2 linked regions of the Lonchura striata genome follow. The protein of the gene in region 1 interacts with the protein of each later gene in a pairwise test. Links are inferred from orthologs where the notes say so. Each region holds a gene or a part of one and is shown on either strand. Other genes may lie near its edges.

The links.
Region 2: the proteins of PPP1R12A (region 1) and ATXN10 interact in binary tests that used the Homo sapiens proteins (3 or more experiments, as listed by UniProt). The link is inferred for Lonchura striata from reciprocal best matches to the Homo sapiens genes PPP1R12A and ATXN10.

What each region holds. Positions count from the first base shown.
Region 1 is NC_134607.1:48,671,412-48,678,697, reverse strand, and holds the start of PPP1R12A (protein phosphatase 1 regulatory subunit 12A), read left to right. Parts: upstream 1-4,204; 5' UTR 4,205-4,316; coding exon 4,317-4,553; intron 4,554-4,845; exon of another isoform or gene 4,846-4,865; intron 4,866-7,286. UniProt on the Homo sapiens protein: Key regulator of protein phosphatase 1C (PPP1C). Mediates binding to myosin. As part of the PPP1C complex, involved in dephosphorylation of PLK1. Capable of inhibiting HIF1AN-dependent suppression of HIF1A activity.
Region 2 is NC_134607.1:5,565,336-5,573,049, reverse strand, and holds the start of ATXN10 (ataxin-10), read left to right. Parts: upstream 1-4,660; 5' UTR 4,661-4,662; coding exon 4,663-4,775; intron 4,776-6,084; coding exon 6,085-6,276; intron 6,277-7,714. UniProt on the Homo sapiens protein: May play a role in the regulation of cytokinesis. May play a role in signaling by stimulating protein glycosylation. Induces neuritogenesis by activating the Ras-MAP kinase pathway and is necessary for the survival of cerebellar neurons.

The sequences.
Region 1 (7,286 bases):
TATATTCAATATTTGTCACTATCCTTCAAATTACCCTTTTTTTTTCCCAGAGCTGGAATTGATGACATTAACTTTGATCTATTAGTTTTCCTTCAATCAGGGGAGAAAATCTTAAGGCAAAATTTTTAGAAGCCACACTGTGTGTAATGCTGTACAAAATGAGAGACACGGCAGCAATTATCCACTTGGAGGTCAGAACAAAATTCTACATCCCAAAAGATGATGATCTTGGGTAGTCAAAAGCTTAATCTGTGAACATTTGTTGTCTAGAAGCCTGTGCGAAATAGCTTTGAACAATGGTTGTAGTGCTTTTAAGAAAGGATGGAAAACCAGAAAACACACTGATAGCAATCTCATTGCTAAATCATTGTATTGATCACTTGAAGCCTGTCATTAAATTTACTGGAAACATGTATACACATAGATGCTATCTCTGTGAAATGTTTACATCATCACCTCTACAGAAAAACAGCTGTACTGAATTCAGTGCTAGTATTTGTATGTGGAAAATTACATACTTAATCACCTTTGGGATTGTGTATATACATGCAAACAAAGGATTTAACAGCACACCTAGTGTGTTGGGTAGTCTGGTAGCAATACACCGAAAAAGCCTGATAAAACTAGATCTAACGTAGGACACATCCTTAAGTTGCACTCATAATGTAGCTCAAATGGTTAAGTGCCTCTTATTAGCAACTATGATTATTGTAAACATGCATACTTATGCAGTTATCTAATTCACTCTTGTGATACTCTCTTGCAGTAGTGACTCTTTTAGAACTAATTTGATACTCACTTTTAACATGGTCTTCAAAAACAGCTTTAATATATGTTTGCTCTAACCCTTTACACAAATGAATTTAACACTCCAGGCTTAGGCAAATAATGGGAAAATAATTTCATATTTGTACCAAAATTATTATTGGTATTTATATATGTTTAGCTCAATTTGTATGGAATTAGAAGCTCTAGACCGTCTCATCTCTCAGCTACACTGATTTTCCAATGACATGGGATGACATTAGACATGGGGTAGAATGGCACTGTGATGGGGTAAAGAATATGACCCAATATGCCTTTGCTATTTAAATTGCAAACATTTATTAGAGATATGAGGTAGGAAAAAATTAGAAATTAAAAATATTATTATTAGTATTATTATTCCCTTCTTGAAGTGTGAACACTTGCAGAGATTAACTAGTTTACAGAAATTACAACTCTACTTTTTGCTTAAGGAAGACCATATGCTTTGCTAGATTTAAGAACTACATATAATTTCCAGCAGAGCACATAGCTATCTCCAAAGGACATTCATACTCAATATATATGGAATATCTGAGTTTCAGCTGACTGTACAAATGAATTATATCTTGCCTGTAGTGTCTGCAAAACCCCTCAAACATAACTCCCTACCATGATGTGCAATCCAAAAAAATTAAAAAGTCAAGGAAAATAATGTCAAGAATTTGGAGCATACAAATAGCTGCAGTGAATGGAAAAATATTTGCTGAAGTTCTCTGAAAAGCTGGAGCTGAATCAGTGAAAAAACTTTCCTGGAAAGAAGAATAAAAGGAAAATATGAAATCTGGGTTTTAAGAATAAAAAAATATTTTATTTAAGAATAAAATTGAGCTGTAGAACTTCTGCATTTCACTAACGAGACAAGAAGAGCAAGTTGGAGTTAAAAGAGGATCCCTGACCAGAAAGAAAAAGCTGAACTGGAAAATTGAAATCAAGCAGAGGGGACTGGAACTCTAATGAAAACTTAGAAACTTGCTCCGTGACATTGAAATTCCTGAGAAAGTGCATGTTGAACATATGCCTATCTATTTGCCTAGAATTACTTTCTTGCTAATAAAGCACTATATTTAAATATTGTTTGCTGAAATCAAACATTCTTCAGATATGAGGTTTCTTGAAGAGTCAAATTTTCAGACAGCCAACTGAGAGAGAAGCATGATGGGGAGGTGACTTGTAAAATATCTGAGACATCTGGGGCAGGGGAAAGAAGCTTTTGTCTTGCATTGCCTTTTTCCAGGGTATAGTTTTCAAGTCCTTAGGAAATGGCACTGTGTTGAGTCTGCCCTGGGAGAGTTTGCCCACAAGGACAAGACTACAGCAGGAGGCTGGAACCTGCACAAATTCCCTCCTTAGACATGAGTCAGGTGCTGCAGCCAAGCTCCCAGCTGGTAACTGTCCATGCCATGCTGGGTGGTACCAGTGCTATGCCAAAGCACAGCCAAATCACTCGTGTGAGTAATAAACACTGCAAAGACTGGTCTTGAATTGTGCTTTGCAGTCAGCCATATTTTCAAATCCAGGAACCTAAAATGTACCCCTGGATAGACACAGGCTGCCAAAGGGAAGGTATAAATTAGGTGCCAGGTAATCTTTCATCCACCTACTTAGACTGCAAATCTTTTTCTGGCAAATCTTTCTTCTTGACTACCAGATGTTGTCTTTTGTTCTCAATCACATTACGCCTGCAAACTGTCAGTGCATGTAGCTCATGCACTGCTGTATAAGTAAGTCTGATGGATATTATGCAAATATCTCCAGATGAAAATCTCTTCTGAAAGACATTAAGAACAGCACATTGCTGCAGGTATCTTGCAACTACTACTTCTTGTGAAATGTCACGGACATCTTTATCAATATAAATGGAAATAAGAGTCCTAGTCAGCTGCACAATTGCCCACCGTAAGAAGGAGACATTGTAATTAGAAAAGCACAAATTATGCAAAATTTGAAGTGTATGAGGTTTGGTGACTCTCTCAAACTATACTTGGTTTCCTGTAATTAGTTGAAAATAAAACTTATTTTCCAGTAAGTTCAAAACCACATTTTATCCCAGAGATTATTCCATTTAAAGCCAAATACATATTGCTTAGCTAAAGAAAGCATGCTGTGCATAGAAAAAAAAACTTTATTATCTGTTATAGCTTGGTTCCTAGAAGTTGCAAATCTGAAGAAAAACATTTTAGTCTTTGTATCTTCAAATCCTGTGTGGTTTGTTAACTACTTGTTTTCTCCCAAGAGAAAGGATGACTGTGCTACTCCCCAGTTTTGACATCATGGAAGTGAACTGTAAGTGAAAAGGACAACAATCACAGGGCTTTGTCCACTGCCATGCAGAATGATAGAATCACAGAATGTGATGGGGTTGAAATGGATTTTGAAAATCAACTAATCCAAATCCCCTGCCATGGGCAGCAGCACCTCCCTCTACACCAGGCTGGTCAAGGCCTTATCCAAAGTGGCTTTAATCACTGCCAGGCTGGGGCATCCACAACCTCTCTGGGCAACCTGTTCCAGTGTCTCACCGCACTCACAATGAAGAATTTTTTACAAAAACATCTAGCGTAATTTGTGCCCATTACTCCTGGTTCTATCATTACAGTTCCTGAAAAGGAGTCTCTCCTCAGCTTCCCTAGAGGCCCCCTGAAGTGTAGAGGCAAAGGGGGTGCTTTTGTAGATCAAACTGTGCTGAGGTAGTCCTATCTAACCTCCCAAAACAAATGACCCTCAACCATGTTGCTCCATTTATTTTCTCTTTTCCAGTCAAGTGGTTCCATATGCCTCGTTTGCCAACGCAGGCAGAAACACCCACCTGTTGCCGCAGGTGACAGAAGTCACCGTCGGGAATGGGCAGCACCTTTAGAAAGGGCCCGACGGAGGCGGGGCTGGACTTACTCCCCACTGCTCTCTGCCCACTCCACGCCCCTCTGCCCACTGCCCTCTGCCCACTCCCACTCCCCTCTGCCCTCTGCTCACTCCCCACTGCTCTCTGCCCACTCCCCACTGCTCTCTGCCCACTCCCCACTGCTCTCTGCCCACTCCCCACTGCCCTCTGCCCACTCCCCACTGCTCCCTGCCCACTCCCCACTGCTCTCTGCCCACTCCCCACTGCCCTCTGCTCACTCCCCACTGCTCTCTGCCCACTCCCCACTGCCCTCTGCCCTCTGCCCACTGCTCTCTGCCCTCTGCCCACTCCCCACTGCCCTCTGCCCACTCCCCTCTGCCCACTCCCCACTGCCCTCTGCCCACGCCCACTCCCACTCCCCTCTGCCCTCTGCCCACTCGGCCCGCGCGGCCCCGCCCCGCTCGCGCGCGGCCTCCCGCCGCACTGCCCCCCCGCGATCTCGCGGGATTATGCTAACGAGGCCGCCGCCGCCCCGCCTCTCCGCTCCCCGCCCGCCCCGCGCCCTCCCTGGGCGGGTGAGCGCGCGCGGCCGCGGTGCGCTGTGGGATAGTGGCGGTATAAAGTGTACGCTCGGCGCGGCCGTGGCTGAGGGGGCCGGCGCGAGCGGGGCATGAAGATGGCGGACGCCAAGCAGAAGCGGAACGAGCAGCTGAAGCGCTGGATCGGCTCCGAGACCGACCTGGAGCCGCCCGTGGTCAAGCGCAAGAAGACCAAGGTGAAGTTTGACGACGGCGCCGTCTTCTTGGCCGCCTGCTCCAGCGGAGACACCGAGGAGGTGCTGCGACTGCTGGAGCGGGGCGCCGACATCAACTACGCCAATGTGGACGGGCTCACCGCTCTCCACCAGGTCGGTGCTGGGCCGAGGAGGGACCCCAGCCGGACTGGGGCGGAGGGGGCGAGGCCGGCCGGCTGCCCCCCCTCCCCCCCCCCTTCCTCCGCTCCGGAGGAGGAGGTGGAGGAGGAAGGGGCCGGAGGCGGCTGCGCTCCCTCCGCTGGGGGGTGTCGGGGCGGGGAGGTGGCGGCAGGGTCAGCCTGGGACCGGCCGGGGCCGCGGGCCGAGCCCCGGGCCGGCGGGGCCGCAGGGGCGGGAGGCTGCACCCCCTCCCCGCGAGCTGGGCGTCGGAATGGGCGGATGGGCCTCTCCTCCGGCGGGAAGGAGGTGCCGCTCACCTTCTTTCGTTTTCCCCTTTTGGCAGCGCTTCCCTTGGAGGGCTGGGGGTGCGGGCCCGGCCCAGCATGGGCTGAGGGGGCCGGAGGTAGATGCCCCCCGGCGAGGGAGGGTGGCTGCAGGTGAGAAGAAGCGGGCCGCCCTCGGGGGGCGCTTCTGCCGCTGCCCCTTGCCTGGAATCCGGGTAGTAGCTCCCTGCTTCCCTCGTCTCCCCGGTTCCGCAGTAGTTGAGCCGATTAAAGCCCGCTCGTGTGTGCGGGCGGCCCTGTTGAGAGACAGATCATCTATTTTTCTCCGGTTTCTAGGGGAAGCCAGTGTTTTGTTCATTATATAGAAACGCGTATCAGTAAGGGGTTGTTTTCGTTACGATGGCTCCCGCCGCAGTGTGAAAGCTGAACTTCAAGCGGAACAGGGATCTTAAATTTTTTTTTCGTGCGTTGGAGAGCATTAAAAAACCCTATCCATATCGCTTTGTTCTGGTGTGGGTATGTGGGAGGGGTGTTGGTACCAAGGGAGGTAACTTTCACTTGGGTCAGGGGGGGAATGCACGGGAAACTGGCTGTGAAGTTTCCTCAAAATGGATGCTTTGTGCATGTTGAACTTCATAGCAGTCTGATTGGAATCTCAAAACGTTAGCCAAATAAGGAAAGGCTGTGGCAATCCGGAGATAATGCGGGTTTGCCTGAATAGTTTTTTTCTCTAGAAGGCCAAAAGTTTCCACGCAATATTAGATTCACTGAATATCTATAAAGCAATAAAATACCTTTGACAGGCTAGCTTCTTGTTCTTAAGTTTGTAAGTTGTTCAGTAGTTTCAAAAAATATCTTAATGTTTATGTGTTGTAGGTTGATCAAGTAGAAATTTTCCCAAAATGGTTAGGTGAGGTGGTTTCTTACATTAAAAAAAAATGAGATGGTGAATTTGTTTTCTCCATCCTATATAGGTTTTTCAAGGCTATGAGGCTCTAGAAATACATAAACTGCCTTGCAGAACTGGATAGAATCCCCTCTTGAATATGGGTTATAAAATTCTATGACTATTTGCTCTGTTTGCTGTGGCTGAGTTGTCACTTGCTGTTGTCACCCTGTAAAGAGTGTTGGTTTAATTTCAGTTGTGAACTGAACTGGAAGAATGAGTGTGTGTTGCGGTTAAGCCTGTCAGCGTGTTACTGCAGCGCAGTTACCTGAGTGCAGGCTAGCCTGTCACTTCATTGGAAGGTTTTCTGTATTTATCCTCCACTAATCAAGTTTTGGTAGCTTCATGCTTCCAGGGAGCTCTCTATGAGAAGCCATACCTTAATTGGCAGATCCTTGGATCTGCAAGTTGCTGTACTCCAGTCATTGGTAGGGAAGGATGATGTTTAGTTTAACTCTATTGTTAGAATAAGAGATGGTGTTCTTTCTTTCTGATGTCCAGAAGGCATTTTCAAAATGTCTTTGATACAGTATACAAAAAAGCTTTCCTCAGGGTAATTCTGAGCATATTCTCCCCCCTTTTTTGTATGTTGTAGTCAGCTTGCAATTTGAAAGGGCAAAGTCTAAGGGAACAGAGGTGAAGATTTACATCACTGCTAAAATCCTTGCTCATGCTCCTCCTGTCCCCTCCCCTCCTTTAGTGATACCAAAAGACCTTTTCTGATTCTATGATACTGGAAGCAAATAAGATCAGTTGTGAAGTTATAATCCTCTTGAGGCAGTACAGTAAGTTACCTGTTGCTGTGAAAAAAACATACAATGAATCCCTGCCTGTGACAACTCTGAATGGTTTCACTTCATTATTAACACAAAATCTTATTTTCTTCCAATATGCCATATAAAAGGTGCAAATCACACATGTAGTCTGTAGCATGAATTAATTTAATCCAATTTGGCTGCAGTGTGAAAAATTCTGTATCTGTTTTCAAAAGAAGCTCTTCAAAAACTTGTCATTCTTCCTGACACTTTTGACTGACTAATGGTAATTGTGTTCAAGTCGATGTTGTTATGTTTAAGATTGTCATGGAGTGCTGTTGCATTGTGGTTCTTTGGTTGGGTTCTTTTCTGTTTTGTGTCATCTGTTAGATCCCGTGTAGAAGACATTGCTCTTCAGAGAAGTAAATTTATCTCAGCAAAGGTAAAATTACTGTACTTTTTTTGGGTGTGTCTTTTGTCTTCTATCAGTTTATTTTTTCTAGTTATTGAGAACAAATACATATGCCTGGAATAGCAATAGAATTAAATGTTTAATGTAATATTTAGCCTTTGATTTTCCTGCTACATATGGCAGTTATAGGAAGAGCCTTCAGCTTTGTTTTATTTTTCACAGCTCAGGCAGTTGGAAGTGCTAAGGGGAATGTACCATTAATCCTGAAATTCTGGTGAACTTTAGGTCTGGTCTTTAATGGAGCATCAAGCTTTGTTGTTGAAGCCGTTA
Region 2 (7,714 bases), about 43 Mb from region 1:
GCTAGTAACTGTGAATGTTTGCTTTCTTCCCCCAAGTTCTGACCATTCTTCCCAACATTTCTTCCCACCCTCTTTGCTATTCTAGGGACATACTCAAAGCTTGGGCTTTATAATTAGTAAGGATAAACCATGGTCATTTAACCATGCCACTAAGCTGGAACACATGCAGTTACTTTGCTTACTGAAGTTTGGGGCAAACACCAGAGAATAATATCCTAGGAGAGAAAAACCTACTGCATGCCTAACATTATGGAAGGGAATTAAACTCTGACTTGCAGTTAGAAAATACGGTAACTACTTTCCTTAGTCCAATAAAATAAACTCAGTTCTTCTTTGAAATAGGAAGTGTTAAATTTGTGGCAATTTATTAAATGCTGGAGCTTTGGCAGTTCACAATGTACTTGAATGACTATAAAAAACAATTTCTTAAGAGCTGAAGCAGTGTTTCTTCCAAGGATTATTTTTGGAAGCTCCTATTTGCTGGATGTTATTTGTGTCCCTTTCCAAGAGGTGGTGAGTTTAAGCACTTTCTGTTGCAGGGCAGAAGAAGGACATTGGTGAATAAGGAACTCTCTGGCTCCTGCAACCCTGACCAAACATACCTTTCTGGGGGAGAGCAGCTGCATGGTTCAAGGGCAGCACGAGAGGAAGGGGAGCTCTGCCTGCCTTTCCTGGGCAGCTCCAGTACCACAGCACATCACTGCTGACAGTTCCTTGAGCAGATTCCTTCCATGGGCAATTAGCCTTCACAAAGCATGAACGGACTAGTTTTCTATTAGGAGACTGAATTTTAGCTGACAAATTAGACAGGTTCCCTGAGGCCAGAGTTATGCAGCTTTGCCAGTTTCACTAAAAATGTGATTTATAACAGATTCCTCAGCAGAGGCACTCCTTGCTTCAGGAATGAAGGTGCACACTGTACTCAAACTCTTCATCTGATCATGAGGGTTTTACAAACTTTTGTCTTCTGCAGGAAAAATTGACTGTTACTTGCTTTTGGCTTATCAAGTGACTCCTCATTTGTCCATGAATGGCTAGTGGGAAGCTACAGTGCATATTTAGAAGTCAGGCATGCAGGTGTAAATAACATTTTAGGAGGTAAGAGTATTTAAGTTTGGGAAGGTAAGTCGATGTAGCTGGATGGAGTTTCTAGCTGTGAAAACAATGCAACAGATTTTGTCTAAGATGTGTCTCTGGCTTTTGATGACTCTGGCATGAAATAGGAGCACAAGTATCTCACCCTGCATGCTCCCAGCAGAGGTGCTGGGCAGGGACTCCTGCTGCACCCTGGTTGTGATGCACCCTGGGGGCAGGATGAGCCAAGGACGGCCGCTCCATCTGTGCGGGGCAAGCATGGCTAAGAGACAAAAATAAAGTCTAGCAGCCACAAATACCATGTTGTGCTTTGCTGCCTTTAGTTCTGCCTTTAAACCAGACCACTCTGAAAGGGAGACAAAAAAATAAAAATTCCCAAAGGTAATGGAAGACTCAGAGTTTTTGTGCAGGTGCAGAGTCACAAAAATGATGGGCAAGGAGAAAAGGGAAGAAAGAATCAGATCCCAGACCCAATTCCTGCCAACTGAGGCTCCACCTCTGATTCATCACAAAGTTTTCTCCTTGTTTCACCCTCTGGTGTAAGCAGCATTTGTATTCTGTGAATATCAGCACATATTCAGATCAAAAAGCAGGCTCACCCATCCCTGACAGTGTCCTGAACATGTCTGTGTTTGCATGGAATTAATAGTTAACATTTTAATTATTAATGTATATTATTTAATATCTGCATGCTGTGTTACTGAGGTATGAGGCACACTCAGACTGGTGAAGTATGGAAGGGGAGGCTAAAAAAGCTTAGGCAGCCTAGATCTAGCAAGTGTGGCACACAGATGCAGACACAGGGGGCTGATTTTATTTGGATAAGTTTTGGACTTAAGGAGAATGTTGCACAGGTGAACAGATGGACAAATGCCTCCTTCAATATCTGCTTTTATCTCCATGGGAGCTGGGAAATTTATAGCTCCAAAGTATTATTACTCCCAGTCATTAAAGAGTGTGGGATTTTTTTAATTTAAAAGCTTGTCATACACATACAAATTATGACTTCTGAGGAGGCCAAATCTTATAATCAGTAGATGCAGATGGAAACTATTAAACTTGACATAAATTTGTGTCTGCTTAAAAAAGATGTTAGCTAAAAAAAATTAATAATCTATCACTTTAGTCTTCTAACATGACCTTCTGGAAACAGACATATAAAACAGGAATGGATCAAAGCTTCTCTTCATATACATAATTAGACAAATGGTTTTCGACAGCCTTTACATACTGGTTTAAAAGAAACTTAATTTTCTTTTATGCAAATTCACAGGTATGACAGGGAGATTTCATCAGATATTTCTTCAATGGGTTAAGGTTTTGAAATTTAAAAGCAAAAAAAATCCTTATATCTGAACCTTATGAAATCTTCTGATGTTATTTTAATAGCAATATTTGTTCTTTTTTTAAAGTTTAGGTTGCATGATTCTTTCAATGAATATTAAGCCAGCATAGGAAAATTCTGAGAAAATTAAGTTCTGAGATTTTTAACTAGAACTTCACAAGCTTCATAATATTATATCAAAATGAATGCTTACAATTTTCAATAACTTTTTTCTTGTAAGTATCGAAGCTTTTCTTATAGCTGCAAAAATTGACAAAGATCTAAAGAAAAAGATTCTGTAAAACTGAAGTTTAACCCTTTATTTCTCAGTTCTGTCAGTCTAGCAACTCTGTATCACTGGATATATTTTCTCCTTAGAGACAATTCTCTAGAAATAATAGAGATAATATATGTAGCAACTTCTAGTTACCAGTAGCATCTTCTAAAATATTATTTCTTAAGATCACATTAGACTTGGGCTAATGACATTTCTTAAGATGACATTAGGCTTTCATAAATTCTGCAAAAGCAAACTTCATAGGAATTTGTCTCCTAACATGAAGATATCAATCCCAGGCCTATAGCTCTCACCTTGCAAAGCTTATCTGCTGACAGATGTTGCACATATGGAAAATCTTTTGAAGACTGAGGTTATTGTGATTTAGAATCCTAAGCTATCCTGAGTTGGAAAGAACATGTGTCCTGTGATTTTAGTGTACAATAAAGATGAGTAGACTAACTCATTTCACAGATGGAATTAACAAATTAAATTGACTCTACACCAGCAGTGAATCATTCAAACTCTACAGTCTAATAGTTTTAGGCTGAGTTCTGCTGCCCACTATTTTACCTCCACTAGATGTCAGGCTTTTGACAGAGCTGGAGGAGTTTAATCTCTATTTCTCAGTATGAAGCTTGGTCAGGATCATAGCTACGGTTCTCCAATTCCAAACACCAGCAGTAATCCAAAATAGGAGATACTGAGTCACTATATGAGTTTTCCTTGCTTTTCATTCTTTTAGGCCTTGTTTTTTCCCTGCAGCAAATTTCTCAGCTTTGGCAGGTACACCAATGCTGGTACATGGAAGCACTTCCAAGCAGTGTGGGATTCCCTGTGGGCATTTCCCTTTGCTCCTCCATTCATTGGTTTGACACCTCTGTTCAGGAAGACTGCTTAACTGGTGAGTTCCTCAAAAATATTCAAGCACGTGCTTCTTTACTCTCTGGGAGCAACCAAGTGGTGGTGAGTTCTTTTGTTATTTCTGCTCCCTAGTAGGCACATTTATTTCTATTTTCTGGGAATGAGATAGAATTTCAGACAGTATTCCCATTTCTCCAACAGCACCTTTGTGAGATATTTGAAGTAGCCAGGCTGGCCTCCAAGCTTAGCAGGTGAATTACATTTGCCAAGCAACAGAAAGCAGATAGCATTTCCAGGATTTCATGCAGGATTTTGTAAGACTTTGCTCCACAGATGCTAAGCAATGGCTGCCACAGTCCCCAAAAAGTGAGTTTCTCATGTGGAGTTCTGCAAATACAGAGCAATCTCAGCAGGTTTAATGTGGAGAGTGATTGCACACTGTGCAAGAGCAATGAGTCTGCTTTCTCTAGTGTTCAGTCACAATTAGTCTTTTTGACCATCGGAAGCTAATTTCCCACCCACACACATACAGATGAACTTCTCATACATGTTTAGAAAATGCTGAACGGTATGTATAAAAAACAAATATTAAAAATGTAGAATTTAATTTAAAAATATTTCAAAACCTGGAGCAAAGTAGTATTAAGGCTTGGACTGGGAGGGACCTTAGAAATCATCTAGTTTCACATCCCTGCCACAAGCTGGTAAATTTGTATATAATTAGGACATTAAGCATGAAATAATAATTCCCGCAATTCATGTATTTTTGTATTAATTTAATATTTGTTTTGCTCCGAGACGGGTCTCCCCAGGAGCGCGCGGCGCGGTGTGGGGCGCGCGGCGTGACGGGAGCGGGCGGCGCGCGGAGAGCTTGCTGAGGGGAAAAGGCGCGGGCGGCGAGGCGCAGCTGAGGGAAGGCGGCGCCCCTCAGGCGGAGCGGCCATCTTGCCGCCTCCGCACGCGGCCCTCACGCCCGGCGGCGCGGCACCGCCGCCATTTCCGCGGGCGGGGGCGGACCCGGGGCAGGTCGGGTGATGGCGGGGGCGGTCCCAGGACCGGGGCGGGGTCGGCGATGGGGGCGGTCCCGGGGCGGTCCCGGGCGATGGCGGCGGGGGCGGTCCCGGGCCCGGGGCGGGCGATGGCGGCGGCGCTGCCCGCGGCCCGCCTGGAGAGCGTGCGGGCGCTGTCGGCTCTGCTCCGGGAGGCGCAGCCCAGGTAGAGGGGAGCAGGGAGCGGCGTTGCCGCTGGATGTCGGGCTCGGCTCCCGGCGCGGTCCTGCCCCAACGTGGCTCGGAAAGGGGCTCTCGGTGCCCCCGTGGGGGTGCGCATCAAGTCCTGGGGAGGTTCTGCACCCCCGGATTCCTCGTGGGGCTGTGCGTGTGTCGGGGGGTGATCTGTCCTGCCCCAGGGCTCCATGAGGAGCTGCAGTGTGCTCAGGCCTTGTGCCTGTGGCAGGGAGAAAAGGTGTTTGTTTCTTAGTTGTGGGTAGCACCAGTTATCCTAGAGATACAGAATGGCTTGGGTTCCAGGAACGGTAAAACTCATCCTATCCCACCCTTGCTATGGGCATGGTTATCTTGCACTGCCCCAGGTTGCTCCAAGCATTGTCCAGACTGACCTTGGACACTTCAGGGATGGGGCAGCTGCAGCTTCTCTCGCAAACCTGTCCCAGGACCTCCCTGGCCTCACAGGGAAAGATTTCTTCCTAACATTCAGTCTAAACCTACTCCATCGGGCTGAAGCTATTGCCCCTTGTTCTGTCACTTCAGGCTGGTGTCAATAATCTCCATCTTCCTTGCAGGCTCCCATCAGGTACTGGAAGGCATTGTTTAGGTCAGCTCAAAGCTGCTTCTCCAGGCTGAGCACTCCCAAGTCTCTCAGCCTTTCCTAATTGTAGAGTTGCCCCATCTGTCTAAACAGCTTGGTGCCTCGTCTGAATTCTCTCCAACAGCTCCATCTCCTTTCTGTGCTGGGACCCCACAGCTCAAGGCAGCTCTGCAGGTGGGGTCTCACCTGAGCAGGGCAGGGAAGCAGAATTCCCCCCTTCACTCCCCTGCTGCCCATGCTGGGGGCTCAGCCCAGCACAGGGGGGTGTTCTGGCTCCCAATACACGTGGCCAGGGCACGTCCAGCTCTCAGCACCACCACCCCCAAATCCTTCTCCCAGGCTGCTCCATCTGCTCATCCCTAGGCTGAATTGATCCTTGGGGGTTGTCCTGACCCAGGTGCAGTGCCAGCACTTGGCTCTTGTTGAGCCTCATGGGATTCCATGGACTACTTGTGGGGCTTGTGGTGCCTTTCTGGGCAGGCACATTAGGTGGGATGTAGCTGCTCTGGGGCAAAAAACCATGGAAGCCCTTCAGGGTGTTCAGAAGTGGGTGAGATGTGTCTGTGTGAGGCCCTGCTGGGGGACAGTCTCATTCCCATGTGAGGCCAAAGCTTTGGGATGTGAGCCTTGGGGACAAAGGACCATGCCCAGCATGGCAGGATGGGCTGCTCTGACTTCACAAATTTATCTATTTCAGAGAAACAGCAGAAGAAAGTGTGTTTCAGGATGTCCTGGAAATCCTGAAGAGCACTGCTAGTGCCCTTGAGCAGACCTGTAAGGACTCCTGTGGGCTGACAGATTTAGACACCTGCCTGCTGCTCATAGCAGAGTGCTTCAGATGCCTGAGGAACGCATGTGTTGAGTGTGCCAAGAATCAACGTGTCTTGAGGTACAGTTGTGAACCCTCTTAGCCCATACCAAAGTACCACCTTCAGCTGTTTATGTGGTTTTATAAAAGAGATTATTTTACACTGTTCTGTTAGTTGATTTATTAACTGGCATTTCCTGCTTGATGGAATCAATTGAATTCAAATATGCAAGAAACAAAATTAGTTGCCCTATTTGTAGGTCAGTTTAGGGCCCTGCTCAGTAATAGAACAAAGTGTTAGGGTCCGTAATGCAAGTTGGTTACACAAATGATATAAGCCTCCTGGAAGCCTGACTGTAGAACTATCATTTTTTCTTTTTCTTTAATTTTTTATAACATAATGAATAATGAATCAGTGACTGGTCTTAATAATCAATTACAGAATTAGCATGTCTTTTAAGGTTCATTTAAATCTGTCTGGCTTTCCTGGCAAAACACAGCATGAAGAAATGTGCATATTGAACCATATTGATCCATATTGATCTACATATATACAGGCAAGTTGAGCTTAAAGGATATTAAATCAATCTGGTTTCTTAAGTTATTTAGTCTTTCTGTTCTTTGCTTGTGTCTGTTGCAATATTGAAGGGATGCTTGTGATACAACCAGTTAGTTGTAGTTAGTGAAAACCTGACAGTCTGGTTGATGTTTTTAAAAAACTCAGCAAAATAGCAGCAAACACCCTCCTTGCTCGGCTGCCCCATGAGAATCCCAAGCTAACCAACCAACAAAAAAACCACCAGAACTTGTCACAAGTTGGTTATATCAAAAATTATTGGGGACTACAGTAATAAAAATTGGCTTCTTGGGACATGTCAAATTTGGTTTACTGAACTGAATGTAATTTTGACCTGGGACCAAGTCTTAGTTTCTGTGCTGGGGCAGAATTCTGTTAATGCCACAGAAATTGTAGTGCAAGTCATTCTGAGAGTCTACCTATGATTCCTCCTCACTGGAGAAAGGCTAAATGATTACTTGGCTTCCTCTGCTCTCTGAGAGTTGTGCATGTTCCCCTTTCAGCTGCCCTGTTGTTTTTTTGGTAGCTGTCACTAACTGCTTTGTTGGCATTGAAAATCCTCCAAGTTTATTATGAAGTAGGATACGACTCTTGTTCTGGATGCTTGACATCCAGACAAAGCAAAGTTCTTACAGAAATAAAGCTATTTAAATTACAGAAATAACTTGCTAATGTTTAATGTCTGGTAGGAAGAATAGCAAAAAGGGAGGAAAGGGTGCTTAGCTCTGAAGATTCTGAGTCCAAAATGTGTAAAATGCAGGATGATGCAATAAACCCCTTTGATTTGCTTCTGATGGTAGTAATGTAGCTACTGATAGGCAGACAGTAATGTAGGATAAACTATTTTTGTTTCAGAGGTCCTGAAGATGCTAAAGATTTCCTGTTAACTTTGGTAAAAAGCCTTTTAAATTTTTTTGAGTGCATTCCATATCAAGTGAATAA